Linked DNA regions of Drosophila melanogaster. The protein of the gene in region 2 interacts with the protein of the main gene of each other region in a pairwise test. Each region holds a gene or a part of one and is shown on either strand. Other genes may lie near its edges.

Evidence for each region.
Region 1: the proteins of Hr78 (region 2) and CG11085 interact in a two-hybrid assay, tested with the Drosophila melanogaster proteins (one large-scale study listed by BioGRID).
Region 3: the proteins of Hr78 (region 2) and fd3F interact in a two-hybrid assay, tested with the Drosophila melanogaster proteins (one large-scale study listed by BioGRID).
Region 4: the proteins of Hr78 (region 2) and Optix interact in a two-hybrid assay, tested with the Drosophila melanogaster proteins (one large-scale study listed by BioGRID).

What each region holds. Positions count from the first base shown.
Region 1 is NC_004354.4:12,614,555-12,621,762, reverse strand, and holds CG11085 (uncharacterized protein), read right to left. Parts: upstream 5,448-7,208; 5' UTR 5,087-5,447; coding exon 5,014-5,086; intron 2,112-5,013; coding exon 1,550-2,111; intron 1,095-1,549; coding exon 842-1,094; 3' UTR 547-841; downstream 1-546. Other genes in the region: Fpgs1 (folylpolyglutamate synthase 1), read right to left, coding at 6,426-6,846, 6,913-7,208.
Region 2 is NT_037436.4:21,493,487-21,499,071, reverse strand, and holds Hr78 (Hormone-receptor-like in 78), read left to right. Parts: upstream 1-1,577; 5' UTR 1,578-1,781; intron 1,782-1,888; exon of another isoform or gene 1,889-1,929; intron 1,930-2,050; exon of another isoform or gene 2,051-2,164; 5' UTR 2,165-2,212; coding exon 2,213-2,252; exon of another isoform or gene 2,253-2,330; coding exon 2,331-2,651; exon of another isoform or gene 2,652-2,679; intron 2,680-3,203; coding exon 3,204-3,473; intron 3,474-3,591; coding exon 3,592-4,766; 3' UTR 4,767-5,053; downstream 5,054-5,585. Other genes in the region: Glg1 (golgi complex-localized glycoprotein 1), read left to right, coding at 580-857; CG7519 (uncharacterized protein), read right to left, coding at 5,290-5,585.
Region 3 is NC_004354.4:3,800,458-3,805,318, reverse strand, and holds the start of fd3F (forkhead domain 3F), read right to left. Parts: upstream 3,004-4,861; 5' UTR 2,763-3,003; coding exon 1,570-2,762; intron 1,094-1,569; coding exon 998-1,093; intron 1-997. Other genes in the region: HIP (Hsc/Hsp70-interacting protein), read right to left, coding at 4,568-4,759, 4,834-4,861.
Region 4 is NT_033778.4:8,029,724-8,034,600, forward strand, and holds the start of Optix (optix), read left to right. Parts: upstream 1-1,869; 5' UTR 1,870-2,234; coding exon 2,235-2,521; intron 2,522-3,581; coding exon 3,582-3,700; intron 3,701-4,567; coding exon 4,568-4,817; intron 4,818-4,877. UniProt on the Drosophila melanogaster protein: May be involved in head or eye development; development of the clypeolabrum and several head sensory organs.

The DNA.
Region 1 (7,208 bases), on a different chromosome or scaffold from region 2:
TCTCACTCTATATCGCCCTCTCTCTCACAGCTCCATGCAAATAATATATATAGAGTGGATCTATATACATATGTAGCTGTAGACGCGATATCCTGCCCGTTGGGTGGGCATATGTCGCGGGCTATTTGCTATATAGCGACAAATTGATATCGTTTTGTGCGATTCGCTCAAGTTGATTTTCAAGCATGACTCACAGCTCACCGATTTGCAGATACGCAGATGGGCGAGCGGCATTTAACCGATACGTTGCATTCGATTCCTTTGTGAATTATTAAATATTAAATTGCAGCCAACACAGCACATGTATAAAAGACTTTTGGTAAAATTGAACAATCGGTAACGATCGATTTTAGTGATCGATCATTATCGTTTCTCAAATTTATCGGAAGTTGAACGTTTGATTTGTTATTCGCAAATGGAGCTTAATTCTGTAACAAAACCAGTAAAGTAAATAAGACCTATTATTTATACTAGTTAGCTTTGATTAAGTTTTTTTATAATTAATTTCAATTAGATCACCTCCCAAGTGAAAACGCTTAAAGACTTGCAATTGAATGTTTATTCTGGCCAAAAAAAAATTCCATAGAGTGCGATGTGAAAAAAAAAATTTTTTAGTTTTATAATACAATTAATTAATTCGACTACGCTTATTTTTATGATTATATTGTTAAGTACGTATTATAATAATAATATCGGGTATGCTTGGTAAATATCAGCACATCGCTTGACTTTCATTAATTTGTCCCGATCGGTTATTGCACAAAAACGGTTTTCTTCATACGCATTATATACACAGGCAGCTGGGGAAAATGGTATTATGGGAGAGTTTGGGGCGTGGCTCCTACATGGGACATCCGTGGACATAGCCGACATTACGGAAAATGGCCGCCGCTGCGGCGGAAGTGAGAAAATTGCAAGGATTGCTGGCAGCCGCTGCAGCAGCGGCGGCGGCACTAAAAGAACTGCTCAGTCCGCTGGGACAGCAGCCGAGTCCGCCCGCACCGCCGCCATCCTGGACCACAAAATCCTTCTCCATGGTCGCCTGATGACGCAGCTGCTCCAGACGCAGTTGATTCTGTCGCTTCCATTTGGTCCTGCAATGGAAAAGGCAAATGAAGCGCTTACAATCGTTGCCACACGGTTAGAATTGAATATGGGATCACTTTAGCGTGATTGTACCAATAAATTCTATATTTTTTTAGTAATCTTACTCAACATAAAATTGGCTTTGGTAAACTATAATAACAAGCCATTATTAATATTAATATGTATATACTTAAAAATACAATTTGTACTGCGCAAAATACAAGGTTTTGCGTTGCCAGACGTTTGCGATCGGTTGAAGCACTATGAGCGCAACTGTACTTACTGCAATTTAAAATAGTGAAACAAAATCAAATAGTTCATTATTCTATCCGCGAATGGAAGATATTTGATTCTTTTCTAATCAAAACTTATTGTTTCATTATCCATTATCGTTTTAATTTAAAAAGCAATTAATAAAGTGGCTCCTTTCCAACTTGGGGATTTGCTCTCGATCAACACTCACCGGCGATTCTGGTACCAGGTTTTCACCTGCGTCTCGGACAGATTGAGCGTTTCGGCCACATCGCTGCGATCGGCCACGCTCAGGTACTTCTGGCACCGGAACTTCCGCTCCAAGTAGGCGAGCTGGGCGTGGGTGAAGGCGGTTCGGCGGCGTCGCGGCTTCCGGCCACTTTTGCTCAGCTGCAGCTTGTGCTCCGCATAGCCGCCACTTGTACCGCCACCGGATCCCGGGCCACTGCCACCGTTGGCATCCCGATCCCCATTGGCACCACTGGCCGCCGCTGCCAGGAGTCCAGCAGCCACGCCCGCCGCCGCTGCAGCGGCGCTCAGTCCGCTGGCTACTCCTCCTCCACCACCACCACCTCCGCCACCACCCGATCCTGTGCCAGAGCCGGGGCCCCTTGTGGCCGATAGGCAGGACTCCACACTGGATTCGTCGTGGTGGGTGAATCTGCGGTGATGGTGCGACAGCAGTAGCTCCTGCTGGCAGCCCGCAGCCGTCGAGTCCGGCGTAGATCGATCCTCAATGTCTATATCCGAATCGTCGTTGGAGAGCTCCAGTTCTGGAAATAGGAAATCAAAGGGAGGATTATTAAAATGTAGTTGCACTTGTTAGATTATCCCAAAGACATCCTGTTTTTATATGCAAACAATAGGCTTTCTACTCATTTAAAAATTTTCAAAATTTGATTGACCACGACTCGTGGATTCAATTGGAGTGCAGAGTGCAGGCCGAGTGTCAAGTGGACGCCGGTATAAAGATACCGACTTTAAGACACTGTTGCCTGTTTTCAGGCGCAGCGTGGCACTAATGCGTTCAACCTCTTCTTTTCGCGCGTGCAACCACTTCCGGTCGAGAAGCGACCTGGGAAACCCATTGCTACACCACACCACACCACACAATGCAATAGACAATCGCATTGGATGAAGTGCTATCAAATCGGATGGGAGAATCAAGTGGGCGTTGGTCCGTTTGGATGATGGGGCGGCGAATCGGATGAGTTGCAATTTGCAGCAATCAACATGTTATTTATATCCGTCGCACATACATACATCGCATCCTGAACACAATCCCAAATCGGACTCGAATCCGGACTCGAAAATCGCACGCTGCGGGCTGCCTGATTAAATTCACGTGTCGACGAGCTCTCAATTGTTTTTCCTATTGGAATTTACATGGTCTGCTCCACGCTGCACTGAGAGAAATATTTCGCTTACAAGTACTTACTTACTTTCTTAAACAAAATCAAAAGAAAACTTTTTCGTACTATTTATATCGGAATAAAATACGTTTTCAATGCCATTTATATATTTATTTTCTATTTATAAAAACCAGAGTTATATTGGAAAAAAATAGAAACCTTTTAACACTCGACCAACTTTTGCACATTATGAATACAATTTCTCAATTTTTTTGCCCAGTGGCGCTTACTTAACACTCAACTTTTTAGAAGAACATAATTTTCGATTCGCCACAGGCGCTCACGTGTGTTCGCCCAGCAAGGATTCTTCTATGTTTTCTGCCCACTTTCTGGAGTGCCAACTGAACGGGCGGAAATTATTTTTATATTTGTGTATTTTAACCCCAAATGGGTTTCGACATCTGATTCCATTTATAACGATTTGCGCAGACAGGACGGAAGGGTAGATGGTGGATATACATATGTATTGTACATATGTCTATGCATGTGAGGGGATATTCAATTATGTGTGGATATCCTGGGGAGCGTCTCGAGTGAGTTCTTTCATTTTTCTCGAAAAGTCACGTCGTATCAATTTGCGGCACAATTGCCATTTAATAGGCACTTGAACTGTGAGACACACATCTGAAGATTGAAGACAGGCGAAAGCCGGTGACTTGTCGTATTGGATGGAGAAAGTGGGTGAAATGGGCTCGCATGTGCCGGCAATTTGGACATTGGAATAACGTATGTGTGTCCTAATAATATACAAATTTCTTTTTTTTTTTATTTATCCATGCCGTTACTAGCATTGATTTTAGGCAAAATCGAAACGTAAGGTATACTTGCAGTGAAAGTTTCATTTTCATCCTCTCTAACTGACAGCAATTAGCCTCTAAATAGTTGTAATTGTTGAGCTAAACTTTATTTAATGTCATGCCTAATTAGAGGATAACACATGCAGTTGGCACAAACCAACCAAAAAACAAAGCATACGTAAGCGGGCACCGCAGGCGGTACACTGCGAAAAAATGTAAAGAGCCATTTAAATCGAATGTGGAATGAGTATATTAATCTATGCATATTTTTTATATATATATCCTTAATAATTTATTTTTTCTTTAGTACTTGAAGATGACTTTTGTGTTATTATATTTTCTTGACTCAAAGTTAACACTAGTAAAGATCACGATTCGATTTGTTCTGTGTACTTGTGCGAGGATGCAAAAGCATTTGTCATGACTGAGTTTTCAGTCCCATTTGCATTCGCATCCACCACGACATTTTCCCTTTCGGTTTCCGATCCCCTGGCTAAAAACAATTAAAGTGCTCGTACGTGACAAATTGCTTGAGCGCAGGTTACGAATAAAGCAGTGTCAACAGCAACAAAAATACTATTAACTGCCAAACTCACACAGTCAGAAAATATGGCTATAAAGTATATCAAAAAATATATGGAAAATGACAATAATTAGCAAATCTATTGAAATCTTAAATTTTCCAGAAGCTAACATATTTTTTGATATATATAAATATAAAACAAAATCAAGATATCGTATTGAAAAATAATATTTTTCGGTGCAAGCAAGCAGTGCACAAATAAATTACTGCCTGAAGCTGTGGTTTTTGTTGTTTCCACTCAACCCCTCTCGCTCACCCGCTGTCTAGCCATCCCACTCGCTCTCATCGCCATCTCACTCACACCGCTAAAAGTTTTTGTTTTTGCGATAATTGAGCAAAGTGTGAGATTTAAATGCCACAGGCGGGTGAAAAAAAAAAAACAGATGACAGAATTGGGGGCGTCAAAAGAGAGTGAGCAAGGCAATTTGTCAGTGGTTTTAGCCAAAAACTCCCCTTATTTACCCCTCAGCCAACAGCAAAACATCAAAGAACGGGAGATTGGAACAATGAGCAGGCTAATTGGCCAAAAAAGGCGTTTATATTATGTATGTTTATTTCACATGTGTGGGTGTATGCAAAATGATAGGTTATATTTAATTACATGGAAGTCTTGTTATTTACAATTAGTATGGAGCTACGAAATTGTTTGTTTTGAAAAATATATCTATTATTAGCAGAGAACTGATATAAACTAGATATTCCTTTTTACAAATAATATCTAGTTAAGGAAACAAATTATTATCAATAAAGGAATATATTTATTTTGATACTTGTTATAGTAGCAGAATTGTTATGGTTTCATAGATATATCATATAGTCGATAAATATGGTAAATGATATACCTCAAAGGACTTAAATGGTACAAAATATTTTCAAAACTTACCCGAATCTGTTTGTCGTCGATTAATCAAATCGCCCAGAAGATCGCGTATTAAAAAAGATTTTGAGCTCTGCATTTTGATGGATCTGCAGTCCTTATGGCAAAAGCGGTGCTTAAGTGTGTTTGTTTTAGATCAGATTTTCAAAGTAACTGGCACATTTGAAACATTTTGCACTAGAAATCCCGTTGCAACAATAACAAAAATTAATCCGTTGTCCTTGTTTATTTGTTAAGTGGCTTTGAAGGCTTTTATTTGATGATCCCTTTTTATTTTATCCTTTGGCGTTTGGCCGACGGCAGTGCTGTGCAAATTTAGCGATTATAATTGCGCCTTCGATCTGTTCTACGCGTAATCGAATTTTCCAGTACGAAACACGCACACACACATTCACACAGACAGACGGACAGAAAGTAACTGTAACTGAACCGCTAAGCGCCGAGTCAAATGAACAACTGAAATGCGAAACGTCGAACGTTTATTAATCCTTTTAGCGAACATCGCCAGGATTCACCCCTCACACACACACACACACAAGTGAATTACGCGGATTTGTTGCTGTAAACGGGACAGTTTAGCGCCCACGTCGACGTCGACGTTTGCAGAGGAAAAGTCCAGCAACAACAACAGCAAAATGAGTGAAAAAAAATGTAGCTACAAAAAGGAAACTTTCGCAATGGCCGCTGCCATTTAACCGTTATTTAATCAGTTGCCTTAGACACACAGCATCAACAAAACAGCAGCATGCCATCCCGCTCGCTCACCGACTTCCGCTGTCCCGTTAGCCATTTTGTTTGCCGTTAGCCCGGTGGGAGAGCAGGTGGACAACAGCTTGCTGTCTCTCTCTTCGCCCAGGGTTGCCGCCGCGCCATTGGCTGTCATTCTGGGCCACCCCTAAATGGCCCGGGGAAAAAAGCAACCCTTAAAGCTCTCGCATTTCCTTGGCCCAGTCTAATGTCGCCTTTGAAATCTGCGTCAGTCGCACGAGTTACGAGCTCTAAAACGCACCAAAGTGGTATGTAAAAAGGTAAAAGGACCAGAAATCAACGAAACACCGTCGGCGAGTTGGCAACTCTGTTCGATGTCCGTAAGGATTTAAAATCACCCATTTTGAATATTTAGTGAGTAAGTATTGTGGCATACACACTATATATGCAAACTTTTATTCCATTAATCATAAGTTTGCTGCTAACTAAAAATGGGCATAAAACACTTCATAGGGTTATTATTTCTACACAATATTTCAAATATTGTTTTATTATTAACTACAACTACATTTATTAGCTGATGCTTTCAGCGATTCATGTTAAAGTTCCACTAAGTGATATGCAAGTGGCTTGCTTCGACTTCTAAATCTAATAGCTAATCTAATAGCAATCCCAGTGTTTCAGCCGGTTCTCCTGGTTAGGAATGTGTCTTATTTATCAGTTCTAGATTTGGGATCATCGATAAGATCTAGGGCACTTATAGCTGCTCCCAGCAGATGAATGGAACCGGTGACGAGGACCTCTAGTTGTCCCTCATTGTCTGTGGCTTGTGGAAATCTTTGCCTGATGGCAGTAAAAGCGTCGGTTAGCGTATTATACACCTGACCCACATCTTTTTTTTGCTCCGTTGCGCAGAGGTCACTCCAAGCTGAGGCAATGATCCTCGCCCGATTCAATTGCATTTCGGGACTAAAACGAACCATCACCTGGCTGGGAGCATTTGGCGTTGAGGTGGCCAAATTGGGCACAAAGCAGACCATGTCAAAGTCACAGGTGCGGTTGAGTAGCTTTAGCAGAGGTGCGAAACCGGATTCTCCGGTGCGATTAAAGATCAGAATCTTTGGATTGACACTGCAAATGAGGAAGTCAATCGAATCAGTTATGTATTATAGGACCATCTCCTCCTACTCCGCTCACCTGTCTCGCACGTTTTTTTCAAACCAGTCCGTGCACACTTCCATGCTTTCCAGAGTGTGAGCTCCGTCCAGATGTAATCGCATCCCGTGCCATTCGATTAGCTGGCACCGACCGGGCCAGTGGGTGCTAATCAGTCCGTCCAGCAGCTGTGGATCCATTTTCACCTCGTTGGGAGTGTGCTGCTGTTTTCCCGACTGCGACAACCAATCTTGGGCCAATTGAATGGCCAATGAGCCATTTAGGCGAATTAAGTTACTGAAGGTCTGCCAAATCGGAGCATATGCCTTCGATCGAAA
Region 2 (5,585 bases):
CATAAAGTTGTCTGCTATCACTGTATGCGTAGAAAAGAGCGGTTCGCTGTAGCGCTCTTCGCTCTCTCGCTCTCTAACAAAAATTCGAGAGAGCCTGGAGCCACCTCTAGAGCCACGGCCAAAAAATCGTGTGCCAAAAAATCGTATGGCGTTACGCATCTTGTTATTCTAGGGTCTTTGGCCAGGCCATCAGCCAGGGGGGGCAGATAGTAGAATTCCTCTTCCTACACTGGAAACTCTTAGTGAAAGCACCTATCAAACAGCTTATGTATTTGAAGCAGATCGATATAATTGGAGGCAGATTGACTAAGAGAATAAGAACAGTACATAGTGTAAATAAACAACGGGAAGTTACGTGATAGGCAGCAAATTATGAAATTTCTTGAACATTCCTTTTTGGTGCAGGGGGGTGTGTGTGTGTGTGTGTGTGTGTGTGTGTGTGTGTGTGTGTGTGTGTGTGTGTGTGTGTGTGTGTGTGTGTGTGTGTGTGTGTGTGTGTGTGTGTGTGTGTGTGTGTGTGTGTGTGTGGTTGGTGTGGTTATAAATATAATAATTAATGTTTTTCTCTCTATGTTCTAGAACTTAATTGCTTAAGGACGCTGCTGAAGGATACGCCGAACTCGTTAGAGGCGGACTGCCGAGAAAAGCTGCAGCGACGCATAGAGATGTTCAGGAACGCAGACGACACGTTGGCGCTTCCGCCCGAGGATGTGCAGCAGCTAGTGCAACAAGTCGTCGCCTCTCCGGCGCGGAAATTCTTCCTTGTGATACTAATGAGCGCCACGGGCCTGGTCTTCCTCACCGGCATCTTCCTGGGACGGGCCACCAAACGGGCAATGGGCTTAAAGAATAAATAATTGAAATATTAGACTGTAGTGGCACTGTGTAGGCGGAGTGTGCATGTTTGTGAGCTTGCTGATTTCCATTTCGGCCCATCCATGACCCCATTCCGAAACCCAGAAGTATACTTTCACTCAACCCTGTCTGCCTTTCGATATTTGTGTGAGCAATTTGTGGCTTAGTCGTTTGTAAGACCAAAAAATACGCGAGAAAGGAGAACACAATCAAATATACTAGTTCCATTCTTAGGGCTCTTTTCGTTATAGCTTTTTTGTAACAATTTCACTTGTATATTAAATTGTATTTTTGTAAACAAAAGCCCCTTCTTTTTAACTATATCCACATGGAAGGCATCAACAGATGTTTCTCTTTGGATCAATACCAGAGCGCTAATACGGCAGAGCGCCTAGTTTTGAGTACAAAAGTTAAGTAAAAACTTGGGATAGGCTTATCAATTTAATCAAATAGCCAAGGTAACTCAAAGTATAAAATTTAATATTATGTCCTTGTGGGCTTATGAGAATTAAAATTTGTGTTAATTGATTAAGCTTGACTCTAATTTGTACCCTAGACACGCCTTTGTTATTATTGATATTAGTAATTCTATTATTATCCTTTGTTTTACGTTAAAAATTACAATTTCAACGAACTGTAGCTCTACAGGTGTTTTGGTATATTTGCACAATGAGCTGCCTTTTTTTAGTATATGGGACCGGATGGTATGTTGAAAGAGCCCAACTGCGGTCACACTGCTCGCAAGTGAATTGGAACAAGGAGATTTTATTGCGTTAGAAAAGGTTCAAAATAGGCACAAAGTGCCTGAAAATATCGTAACTGACCGGAAGTAACATAACTTTAACCAAGTGCCTCGAAAAATAGATGTTTTTAAAAGCTCAAGAATGGTGATAACAGACGTCCAATAAGAATTTTCAAAGAGCCAAGTAAGCAAGACCAATTCATTCACATCACAGGCACCCACACAGATGCAGCCAAAACAGGTTCTATTAAAATAGCTCTGGCTACGTTAGCTACAGCTGCGTCCAAAATAGTAGCACTTTTGTTGGCAGCAGCAACGGTGTTTTATATTGCGTAAAATTCAATGATTTATTTTTTGAAAACATCAATATAATATATTATAATACATTTATTATTATTATTATTATTATCTACTATATAAATATATTTTGTGATAGAATTAACCACCTCATACCTCTCTTTTCGGCTCGTAATTCCTTTATTCTAGACACACTCCATATTTATCTCTTCTCTACTTTATATTGCAAGTAAAATTTAAATTACATATGTGAAGATGTTTGGGTTTCAGTTATTTATACAGCCGACGACTATTTTTTAGCCGCCTGCTGTGGCGACAATGGACGGCGTTAAGGTTGAGACGTTCATCAAAAGCGAAGGTGAGTCCAATCACCCGAGCCATGCCACCTTGGAGCCCATTCTAACGCGACTGTTGCCATTGCCCTCTGACCTTGCAGAAAACCGAGCGATGCCCTTGATCGGAGGAGGCAGTGCCTCAGGCGGCACTCCTCTGCCAGGAGGCGGCGTGGGAATGGGAGCCGGAGCATCCGCAACGTTGAGCGTGGAGCTGTGTTTGGTGTGCGGGGACCGCGCCTCCGGGCGGCACTACGGAGCCATAAGCTGCGAAGGCTGCAAGGGATTCTTCAAGCGCTCGATCCGGAAGCAGCTGGGCTACCAGTGTCGCGGGGCTATGAACTGCGAGGTCACCAAGCACCACAGGAATCGGTGCCAGTTCTGTCGACTACAGAAGTGCCTGGCCAGCGGCATGCGAAGTGATTGTAATTTTCGTTTAAGTCGTCGTCTCAAGCTATAACCAATCTCTGGCCTGGCCAGAGTCTACGTGCTCCAGCAGGCTTTAGCAGAATTGCATTGTAGAAATTAGGAGATATCATATATGTAGCATTTAACTCTGACAAGTAATGAAACGTTATCGATTCACAGGAACTCAGTTTCCCAGAGCTTAATCAAGAACTGGTTGGATGATCTCCAATTCGAATTGGACTCAAAGATAAATAGTCTAATCTAGAGAAAGTTCAATTTCAATTGAATTCAATTCAATTTTCGTCTGTGAAGTGCATTTTACACCAAGTAATCACGTGAATCTAATTGCATCCCAGTGTTTGCTTCTGTAACGTGAATATCCACTTCAGTAACTTGCACATCTTAAAACTGCAGCGGCGGAGGCACAAAAGATTCCCAGCCTGCACGAACATTAACCAATTCACCCACTTACTCACCATCACCTCGCTTTGAAAATCATCAAACCGCATCCTCACCTCACTTCTCGCTCTAATTAATTGCCTTCCGTTCTCATCAACTTTTGTTCACAGCTGTGCAGCACGAGAGGAAACCGATTGTGGACAGGAAGGAGGGGATCATCGCTGCTGCCGGTAGCTCATCCACTTCTGGCGGCGGTAATGGCTCGTCCACCTACCTATCCGGCAAGTCCGGCTATCAGCAGGGGCGTGGCAAGGGGCACAGTGTAAAGGCCGAATCCGCGGCCACGCCTCCAGTGCACAGCGCGCCAGCAACGGCCTTCAATTTGAATGAGAATATATTCCCGATGGGTTTGAATTTCGCAGAACTAACGCAGACATTGAGTAAGTTGAACTTTGATTTACATTCTGGTTGGTCATATATACTTAACTGCCATGATTGATCCATATTTAACTTCTTTTAAACGAATTCACCATTAATAATCTCCTATTGACTTTGCAGTGTTCGCTACCCAACAGCAGCAGCAACAACAGCAACAGCATCAACAGAGTGGTAGCTATTCGCCAGATATTCCGAAGGCAGATCCCGAGGATGACGAGGACGACTCAATGGACAACAGCAGCACGCTGTGCTTGCAGTTGCTCGCCAACAGCGCCAGCAACAACAACTCGCAGCACCTGAACTTTAATGCTGGGGAAGTACCCACCGCTCTGCCTACCACCTCGACAATGGGGCTTATTCAGAGTTCGCTGGACATGCGGGTCATCCACAAGGGACTGCAGATCCTGCAGCCCATCCAAAACCAACTGGAGCGAAATGGTAATCTGAGTGTGAAGCCCGAGTGCGATTCAGAGGCGGAGGACAGTGGCACCGAGGATGCCGTAGACGCGGAGCTGGAGCACATGGAACTAGACTTTGAGTGCGGTGGGAACCGAAGCGGTGGAAGCGATTTTGCTATCAATGAGGCGGTCTTTGAACAGGATCTTCTCACCGATGTGCAGTGTGCCTTTCATGTGCAACCGCCGACTTTGGTCCACTCGTATTTAAATATTCATTATGTGTGTGAGACGGGCTCGCGAATCATTTTTCTCACCATCCATACCCTTCGAAAGGTTCCAGTTTTCGAACAATTGGAAGCCCATACACAGGTGAAACTCCTGAGAGGAGTGTGGCCAGCATTAATGGCTATAGCTTTGGCGCAGTGTCAGGGTCAGCTTTCGGTGCCCACCATTATCGGGCAGTTTATTCAAAGCACTCGCCAGCTAGCGGATATCGATAAGATCGAACCGTTGAAGATCTCGAAGATGGCAAATCTCACCAGGACCCTGCACGACTTTGTCCAGGAGCTCCAGTCACTGGATGTTACTGATATGGAGTTTGGCTTGCTGCGTCTGATCTTGCTCTTCAATCCAACGCTCTTGCAGCAGCGCAAGGAGCGGTCGTTGCGAGGCTACGTCCGCAGAGTCCAACTCTACGCTCTGTCAAGTTTGAGAAGGCAGGGTGGCATCGGCGGCGGCGAGGAGCGCTTTAATGTTCTGGTGGCTCGCCTTCTTCCGCTCAGCAGCCTGGACGCAGAGGCCATGGAGGAGCTGTTCTTCGCCAACTTGGTGGGGCAGATGCAGATGGATGCTCTTATTCCGTTCATACTGATGACCAGCAACACCAGTGGACTGTAGGCGGAATTGAGAAGAACAGGGCGCAAGCAGATTCGCTAGACTGCCCAAAAGCAAGACTGAAGATGGACCAAGTGCGGGCAATACATGTAGCAACTAGGCAAATCCCATTAATTATATATTTAATATATACAATATATAGTTTAGGATACAATATTCTAACATAAAACCATGGGTTTATTGTTGTTCACAGATAAAATGGAATCGATTTCCCAATAAAAGCGAATATGTTTTTAAACAGAATGTTTGCATCAGAACTTTGAGATGTATACATTAGATTATTACAACACAACTTTGATCAAATGTTAATCTAATTTTTATTAAAGATGTGGATCTCATCCCACAGATTGGCAGAAAGCAGAATACAAAGTCAAGAAATGGCAACGTGTAGGGAACAATTTAAAGGCGGTCGTTATATTTTTATTTTTTGTATAAAAATAATTTGATTGTTTACTAAAGTAGATAGACGAACTGCAGCTAAATATGCATCCAGTCTTTACAACTTAATCTAAGCTAGAGCGAGGGATTACTGTTCCTCTTCGGGTACCTTTCTGGCGGGCTTGTGCTTCTCGTAAGCCTCATCGTTGAGTCCCTCCCGATTCCGGGCAATCTCGATGGCCAGAAACTGGACGCGAAACACGAAGATAGAGTTGTCCGGGGAGAATTCCCTGCTGGCATCGGCGCGCATCAGGGTGCCATACGAGTAATCGTCCAACTTGTTAAACTTCTCGGCGAACTGGCGCCACTTGAGCTTCGCCGTGGCGGATTTGAGAATATCATCGGTAAGCCGGCCAACGTGAAGATCGGGAAAATCCTGCCGGA
Region 3 (4,861 bases), on a different chromosome or scaffold from region 2:
TTCATTACATTAAATGCGGGGGGGTGGTGAGGAGTGCAGGTGCGCAGGTGATGGGCAAATGTCATAAATTATTTGCCTCCCCCTCCCGAGCGGGGTGGTTTTATATGTAAATTTATATAGGATATTTACACGCAACATTCGCGGCTGCGGCATCAAATATTTACACTGATTCCGGGTATTCGAAGACAACAAAAGAAATGAATAACAAAAAACAGGTGGGGAGCAGTGGGGGCGAAAGGCCAAATTGATGAACCTTGAAAAATGTGTTAAAACTTATTGTTTTCTTCGTCAGCGATTCTTGACGAATTGATATTTTCGAACTCAGCGTGGTAAAAATGGAATTTTGAAAATTTTAACGTTTTGCGAAAAGTAGGTAATGATTAACTAGTTTTGAATACTATTGAATGATTAACTAATACGGAATGAGCCGTATTAAGCACTTATCACCATAAAACTAAGAATTTGGTATACTCAACAATTGCCACTAAACAATCCAAAAGCCAAAATTAATGGGTCGCTATCCGTATAAGCTGATAATACCAGGGAATACCAGTTTGGCATAAACAACTTGTTGAACAACCCGCAAATAGTTTGGTTAACAACATTTTTGTTTTTCACCTTATGCGAGCGAAGGCAAGGTAAATGCAATTTTCTAGCCCATAAATCTGTTTGAGCTGCTAACTTTTGGCACTTTCATTGTGGCCGCTATCGTTTGTTTGCCGGTGTGTGGCACTTTGTTTAAGTTTGGTTACCAACCAAGGAACGAAAACATGGTAAGAAGAAATACCCAGCGAACGAGGAAATCAAATGGCCAACGGGAATGGCCAAAACGAAATGCTTGAGATTTGTTTAATTGCATCCTGGCTGGCGTTTTTTGCCATCAAAAAAAATAACAGGATGGCTAGCACTCCACAAAATGGCGTCCATCCGAATGGGCGGTGGGCGGTGGGCGGTGGTGGTTGATTCAGTGGGTGGTTCGATGGGGGACAGTACTTACGATATCCATTGGTATATGCCCGACACAGTCAGCTCACCCTTATCCTCGAGGGCGTATTCGATGAGCTCCGTGTAGGTGAACGGTGGTTTCTTTGGCCTGCTTGTTTTGCGGTGGTTGGTTTTGGATTTCAGCCACATTGGTGGGTGGTTCGGTGGTTTAGTGGATCGGCGATTGCGTGGTTGGGGAAATTCGTTGGCGGCATCGATTGGAGGACGGCATTGAAAGCAAATGGAGAACGCACAAATCAGAGAAAAAGATTGTTAAATATATTAAAACAAAAGAGAGAATGCTATAGTCGAGTTACCCGACTATCAGATACCCGTTACTCAGCTAGTGTGAATGCGAACGCGAAATTTAATCATCTTTCTGGGATGTCGATAGATATTGGGGAATAAAATGAGAAAAAAATTTAAAAATTGATCCTGATCAACAAATTTTATATATACTTCAACGAATCTAGTATACCCTTTTCCTCTATGAGTAACGGGAATAAATAGATGTTTCAAATAAATTAGGAAATATAGAATTTAACCGTTGACACTGTCATATTGTTTTATTTCTGCAACACTTACGCCTTGGACGAAGTATCCTCGACGACAACGTGCTCGGCAACTATCATGTCGTTACCGTCCAACTCCGAGGTGACCTCCATCACCAGCTCCTCGAACTTGCGCCCAGTCTTGGTGGAGCCCACGCCGGCCACGCCCCCCGCTGCTGAAGCGCCAGCGGAGCCGTTGCCTCCTCCTCCTAATGCCGCTGGCATCGCTGCACTGGAGCAACTCTTGGGCGATCTGGCCCGTTGATCCACCAAACCCGATCCGAGAGATTGATTTGTGCTTATGGCGGATGCGGATGCCGATGCGGCGGAGGCGGATGATGGCGAGGAGGAACTGCAGGGCGACGTGGCGATCGGCACTGCCGTCGATGGTGGATGAGGTGGAGCACTGCCCTCCGGCAGATTGACCGCCTGTCCGTGAATCTGATTGTGCGGCGATAGGTGCGGGAACTCGTCGAACTTAAAGTTGAGCAGCCACGAGAGGTTCTTATCCTCGAAGTCCGCCTCGGTGGCTTCATTGGCCCCACTAACCGAACCGGATGAGGTGCGTCGGCCCGCCGACTGTATCCGCTGCTTCTGCGGCACCAGAAAATGTTGATTCTGATGTGGGTTCTGACCAGGACTGACATTCTGTTGTGTTGACTGCTGCGTATGATTGGATGCATTTTGAGCTGATGATGATGTTGGTGGTGGCGGCGGCAAAGTGGCATTCAATTGCCCCAGTTCCGCCTGCAGGCCGGAGTTATAACGATGATCCAGCTCCAGCAGCTCGCCACCGGTCCAACCACCATTGTCATCCAATGGAGCACTCGATGGTGGACAGTGCGAATAGGCGACGGCGGGCACCAGAAGACTGCTCTCATAGGAAAAGAGATCGTTGATGAAGGACGTCGAGGATTGGGCGGGTGCAGCGTTGGTTGGCGGATTACTAGGTGGCTGTTCCAGCTGCAGGTGGAAGTGCAGGTCCCCGGCATCGTAGTCCAAGTGTCGCTTCTTCCAGGGATTTGCCCCGATGGGCTCGTAGTCGTGGCCCAAAGCCAAATCCTCCTGATCGTCGAACTTGCGCTTAAGAAAGTTGTAATCACCGGGAAGATTAGTGTTCGTATCATTTTGATTGGTGGTACTGCTATTGTTGTTGTTGTTGCTGCTGGGATTCGATGTTGGGCTGGATGCACTGCCCGTTCCATTGACGGGCATGTTGACAATCATGATGTCCCGGCTGTCTCGATTTCAATCACGTTAGCCAAGCCAAAACACACAACTCACACTTGGCGAAAAAGAGCAAGTAACACGAAAAAAAAATTGACCTGCTTCGTCTGGGGGACGGACGAAGGATATTTCTTTCTTTATTTCTCAATCTTTAGTTTAGTCAAGAGCGGAAATTGGGAATTAGTCGGTCCGCACTGGCTAACTGGCTAACCGTCTCGCGCTGCGACTGGCCACGGAATGCGATGGGCCGCCAGGAGTCCAGACCAACTTGGCTGTTGGGCTGAGCTGCGCCTGCGCCCTCCTGCCACTCATCCACATTCACATCCACCACCCCGGACACCCAGTCATGCACATAAGCGGTACGTCTGCAGTCGATGGAAAGAGGAGCCGTACCTGTGATGGCGCAGGTACAATAAAATAATGCAGACACTTCACTGTATTATATTTGACATATTCGTTGATATATGTTTCAACCATATCACCTGCTTATAAATATATATTTATAATTTATATATAAATATGAAAAATATCAAAGCAAAGAAAGCTGTCATAGCTTCTAAATAATCAGTCGTGTACGCTGTACCAAGCTGAGTTTAAAAAGCAATCAAGTACCTCTAGGTACAACCACCCAGGTCTTGGCATCGCTGAGCCCAGGTCATGTGCCGCTGGTTCTGCTTGGTCGCTCGATTTGGCCATAATCGAACATGTGCGCCAAGCTGTCCGTTAGCCAATTTCGCGCTGACATGGGGCGGGGTGCGGTAGATAGGTTCTGGATCCAGGGTGCAGGGTGCAGCCATTGAAGCGTCTAATCGACGCTTTCATACACCATGCGTACCCAATGTACTTCATACAAAGTGAGCAACCCACACAGGTGATGCGCCGGATAGTTTAAGGGACTACGGCTCCATCTGTTCAACCCGCTCGAAAAAAAAGCAAAAGTATCTCCCCTTTTACCCGTTTACCAAAAAATATGGACATTAGCAATTCGGGTTCTTGTTGATTCGTTTATTTATTTCCATTGATCACTGGTTGAATGAGTGTGTGAATGAGTGTGTGAATGAGTGTGTGAATGAATGGGCGATTGCTTTCATGTTGGGGGGCTAAATGCATTTGCATACAATATGATTTAAATCCTACTCAGTACAATTTTGTTTGACCAAATGATGCGATTAGTTTTATCCGTTTCTTCGTTCTCGGTAATTTAGGCTAATATTATTGAACATATATATATTTTTTATTTTCTTTTGGTTGTTTCTCGAGCTTTAGTTCAACTAGATCGATCGGCACCCTTGAATCTGACTTGACGTCTAAACATTCATGTTTTGTTCGTTACAGGACAATCTTTTGATTTACCTGTGAACTGCAAATGTGAAGTTTTTAAGCATATTCTAGCTCCTTTGTATAGTTTCATTTGCCACTTTAATGGCCGCAAGTATGCTTTTCAATAATATGTGAAGAAGCGTCTCCAGCATCTCCAACATCTCTTTCTTCTCGATTTAAATAAATGTTGCTTATTCTTCTGACTGCTTGTAGTATTTTGAATATTTGAATTTTCTCCATTGTCGCCCGTTCTTTTACGTGTTGGTTAAGTTAAAGCTTAGGAAATGTTTGTTTTTTCCCAGCTGCAAAAATGTGTAAGGCAGTTGCTTTCCCTTTTGTTTTTCGTGTAGTCCATCTTCTTCCCCGCACTCTGTTGCTTTCTCTTTCTTTGTTGTTTTGTAATCTCGCTCGATTTCGTGTAATTGTTTGTTAACTTCTTTTTATCGACGCATGTTTCAGTCTTACTACTGCCCCATTTCTAAACCTTAGTCCAAACCGTCATCGACGAAGTCGGCGGAATCCTTTTTAGGCTTAGGCTCGCTCGGCTTTCCAGCCTTTTCACCCGCTTGGCCAAAGGCAGCACCCACATCTCCACCGGGCACAATCTTCTTGATAAGGTTGTATATCTTCGGGTTCGACGCGTACTTTGTGATGTTACCCGGATTTGACAAAATGTCCTACGAAAGTTAATAAATAACAACGATATGATTACTGCATTTGTATTAGAAATAGAAAAGTAGTATTCACGAACCTGAATGGCGGCTGACACCTCGGGATCT
Region 4 (4,877 bases), on a different chromosome or scaffold from region 2:
AAAACTCATTTACTTGTGGCATGTAAACAACTAATCTGTTAACACTCCGGACAAAAGCGCGAACGATACATTAGCGTGTGCCCTGTCCGCGCCGAACACCGCCCACCTCCAAGCCATCCCCTCCTCCTCCTGGCTATTTCCGGATCCTGTCAAACACGGAGCATGATGAAGCACCAAGACCCGACAACCAACACTACTGACAGCGCCACAATAAAAACTTTTGCTCGTGAATATTTTGCCCCATTCGACGGGCATAATCAAAAGTTCCCTTTGCCAAAATGAAAACGTGATTTTCTCCTTGGTCATATATATGTGCATATAAATGGCGGATGAGAGGGCTGGAGGTTCGTCCTGGCACAAGGATATGGCTTACAGTGAGCGAGAGTAGGGGCTTCAGAAAGGGGGAAATGGCATGGGAAGAGAAGGGCAGAGGAAGGAGCGGCGGCAGAGGTTGCCAGACCACATGGTGTCAAACATTTTGCTACACTTATACAATATGCTTCACTTACCGTGATGCGAAATCAATGAAAAGCGGATCCAAGTTTCGACTAAGTTAGATCAGTTAATTTGTAACTTTTTTTTCGTATGTGCTACCTCTCTTAAGTTATGTTGTTAACAAATAAGCGAATTAGGTTTATAAGAAATATACAGATACAAAAGAAAGCGTTTTTAACAACATGACCTATAAATGTTACGGTTTATGAAAATCTACAAGGCCAAAATAAGCATTTACTGAAGTGCGTGTGTATAAACAACTTGATATATTGAAAAACATTCATATAACCGTGCGATCTTGACTCTGGCAATTCTTTCTTCCAACTTGTATCGTGCTTGTGATCAATGACTTGACAGAATATCTTTAGTAAATAAAGACCCTCGAATTTTCCACGGCATATAAACATAATCCAGCTGATCTCGCCCCACTGTGCGGCTGTGCTCGGCTGCCCGGCTGCTGCGTTCTGCCGGGTTGTTTTATTTGATTTCTTTATCAATATCTGAGCTGCCGTGCCTGCAGCTCACCCCCTCGGTGGCGTTACCCAGCCCTACTACTGCCGCCACAACGTTCGTAACCCCTATTCAACGAGCCGTTGTTATCCTGGAACTGGAACTGCAACAGTATTAGTTGCTGTGCACCAGTGTACGTGCGACTCTTATGTACGATTCATTTAAACGAGACCCATGAAGGCGATGCCACCACCGCATAAAGGAGAAAAGGAGACAGCTGTCGAGAGTGGCGCCATTGCATGGCCGTGTGCCAGAGCGAGACGTACGTACGTCAACGAGCAGTGACGACCACGCCCACCCCGTGGTAGTGGTGCCTATGGTATGGTGGTGCGTCGTAGTATCCGTATCCGCATCTGTTCGCGTATCTTTATCTGTGTGTGCGGCAAACTGGTTGTGGCCTGGTATTGGTGCCAACTCGTTTCTGTTTCCATATCTCGGCCCGTATCTGTGTCCGCAGCTGTATCTGTATCTGTAGCTGTATCTTTATCTGTATCCGTGTCTGCAGCTGGCAAGCAGTAGCAGTGGCAGCCGGAGAGCTGAGCCGAGCCGCCAGCCAGAGTATCTGTATCTGTGGCGCGTCATTGTTGTGCTGCTACTGCCGCTACTGCCGCTGCTGCTGCCTCTGCCGATTGAGCTCCATTGCCATAGCTTCTATAGCCTCTATAGCGTGTATAGCTTCTGTGCCGTTCCCGTCGCCTAGTGGGCAGCTCAGTTACAAGACCATTATTTGACGTATTTTTTGCGCGCTCGGTTGGCCGTTTGGTTGGTCGCTCTCTCGCTCGCTGGATCGTATCGCACCACACCGAACCGCATCGGTTATATCCATTGCCAAAGGCCCCCTTTATCGCCTCGATGTGGAGCAGCAGTTGCGCTCCGTTCGTGGTCCGGGCACGGGTATCGCATTCATGAGCTGGCTCATTGGCAATCATTTGGATTCGTACGCCAGTCGAACCGGTGGCCACCTCACACATCCAGACGGCCAGATGCCCTCGATCGCGCGTGCAAAGTGCTAACCCCAAACCAATCAGTAAAACCTTATCGAGGCGGACTGAATCGAGTCGGATCAAGCCACCCAAGTGCTAGTGAACACATCAAAAAAAAAAAAAAAAAAAACGAATAACAGCCAAGGAATTGAATTAGTGACTAAACCAGTGTAGTGCCCAGCAAGATTGCTTCGTTCCGGTGGAGAATAGTATGCCAATTTGTTCACAGTGGATTCAACGAATAAAATGGCCGTTGGACCGACGGAGGGCAAACAGCCGCCCTCAGAGAGCTTCTCGCCCACGCACCACCAGATTATAGCACCCAGCCCCATCCTGGCCGTTCCAACGCTGGCCTTCTCCGCCGCCCAGGTGGAGATCGTTTGCAAGACGCTCGAGGACTCCGGCGACATCGAGCGGTTGGCCCGCTTCCTCTGGAGCCTGCCGGTGGCCCTGCCCAACATGCACGAGATCCTCAACTGCGAGGCGGTGCTCCGTGCCCGCGCAGTGGTCGCCTACCATGTGGGCAACTTCAGGTAGGAATCCGCCACACACAAAAGCCCCCTGCTTGAATGACACTCTCTGGGAAGATCAGAAAACCAAAAACCAAAAAAAAAAACAGAAAACCAGTCAGCCAGAGTCCCAGCCTCCTGTCCTGATTAACCCCGACAACCGACATCCGATAGTTTTGCACAGCGACAGCTTAATGAGGGCACAATGAGCCGCTAAATTAATAAACAATGGCATTAATTTACTAATTAAAGAACTCGCTGCTGCCCAAAGCCAAGTGGAGCAGGCTTGATTAATAAAACACCGACCGAACAATAGGTTCCACGCCAGGATCGGGGTTTCGGCTTCCGTCGCCACGACATTCTAAGTTCTCACATTTCACGGGGGCTTCTAAGACAACCGGAAACAATTCGCTCGAATGGTGAATTTTGCAATAGGCCCTCGCAAACGATGACGAAAGATTAGCTTACCCATGGTATCTCCGAGATAGACTTAGCCTTGTGATCTTCGCCTAGACGAATCGGCCATTTGCCGCGTCTCGAAGTGGGCAAAACAGGTCCCCTGGCAATCGATATCGACAATTATCCGATCGGCTCAGGCAATCACAACTATAAACGGTTGCATCAGGTTTTGCATCTCATCTGACTGCAGCTCGAGCACACGGCCGTGTAATTCGAGTATAATCAATCAATGTCCAGATACAGTACATATATGGCCTGTTCGTGCATATACTCTTACGGATCTGGCGATGCTATGCAAGTGATTTGATTGCTTTGACTTGGTAAATAAACGACTTCCAATTAAAACCATTTGACGTACTCAACCGAGCTGTCAGCACCAGTGACGACAATAAATGCTTATGAAATTGTTTCAAAATACATATGGACGCCTGTCGAGCGTCGAGTGTCGAGGGGTGTAGAAACTCGGAGGCGGGGATGGCTTTCGCAGCGGGAAGTCCCAAGTGTCCCAAAAGTCCAAAGGACCCAGGGGTGGTTGATGGGGTTGAAATCGTGATGGCAAATTCAGCGCATTAACTTTAAGCTCAACTCCGGATACTAACACTCACACTGGACCACCTCTTTTCAGGGAACTTTATGCAATAATAGAGAATCATAAGTTTACTAAGGCGTCCTACGGCAAACTGCAGGCCATGTGGCTGGAGGCCCACTACATTGAGGCCGAGAAGCTGCGCGGTCGATCACTGGGTGAGTAAGGCATTCACTTCCAAGATAGATGTCGTGATAAAATGCTGAAAAAAATATGAGGGAATTTCAAACACAAACGTAGAAATACAAGTTTAAGTTTTACTATAACACCACGAAATGTTTTCATTAAGCATATTGATTACACATATTTGTTATTTCAAATGCATTGAAAAGCGGTCGAATAAATACTAAACGTGTTTTAGAAAATCCGATCATAGTAATAAGAAGGATTAACAGATTATTTATAATTCTAATTGTATTATTGACTCAGTTAAATGACTAAAACAGAGCTTACTTTAAATTCGATACTTAAAAAGTCGTCACTGAACATCGATTCAAAGTGTTTGAACAATTTTTGATATTTAGCTAATTCTCTAACTGTATGTATTGGGTATAGACCAGTTTTTCAGTGCTTAATTATGTAATGATTATGTAATAACATATTCAGAAATTTACGCTCGTATATTTTACTTTAAGATGTTCAAACCAGTTTTACAAATATTTTTCATAATTGTTACTTGTAATATTTCTTTGATATTTTACGATGATATTTACAATCCAAGTAACAAATAAAGCAATACAATTGTTTTTGAATATATAATAGACACACTTTAAACTCGCTGTTTAAAACGATCCTTTTAGAAAAAACTTGAATGAAATCGAATAATCAGTACACAAATAGTTGATGTAAAAAAATCTCTAATGAATTGTAGCAATCAAGACAATTGTTTTTAGAGCGAGGAGTTTCAAACTCCCTAATGAAAATTTCAGAAAGCTATTGCCAGCATTTGTTCAAACAAAACTACTGTAAAATTAGACAAAAATTAAAATTATTTTAATTAATCCAATTGCAATTGAAACTTGCAGGCCCCGTGGACAAGTATCGGGTGCGAAAGAAGTTCCCCCTGCCGCCGACGATCTGGGATGGCGAGCAGAAGACGCACTGCTTCAAGGAGCGCACGCGGAGCCTACTGCGCGAATGGTACCTACAGGATCCCTACCCGAATCCCACCAAGAAGCGGGAGCTGGCCAAGGCCACCGGCCTGAATCCCACGCAAGTGGGCAACTGGTTCAAGAACCGCCGCCAGCGGGATCGGGCTGCTGCGGCCAAGAATCGGTAAGTTATCGACCATGGACCGCTTCAATTAGCCATTGGAGTTGGGAGTTAGACGGGTCT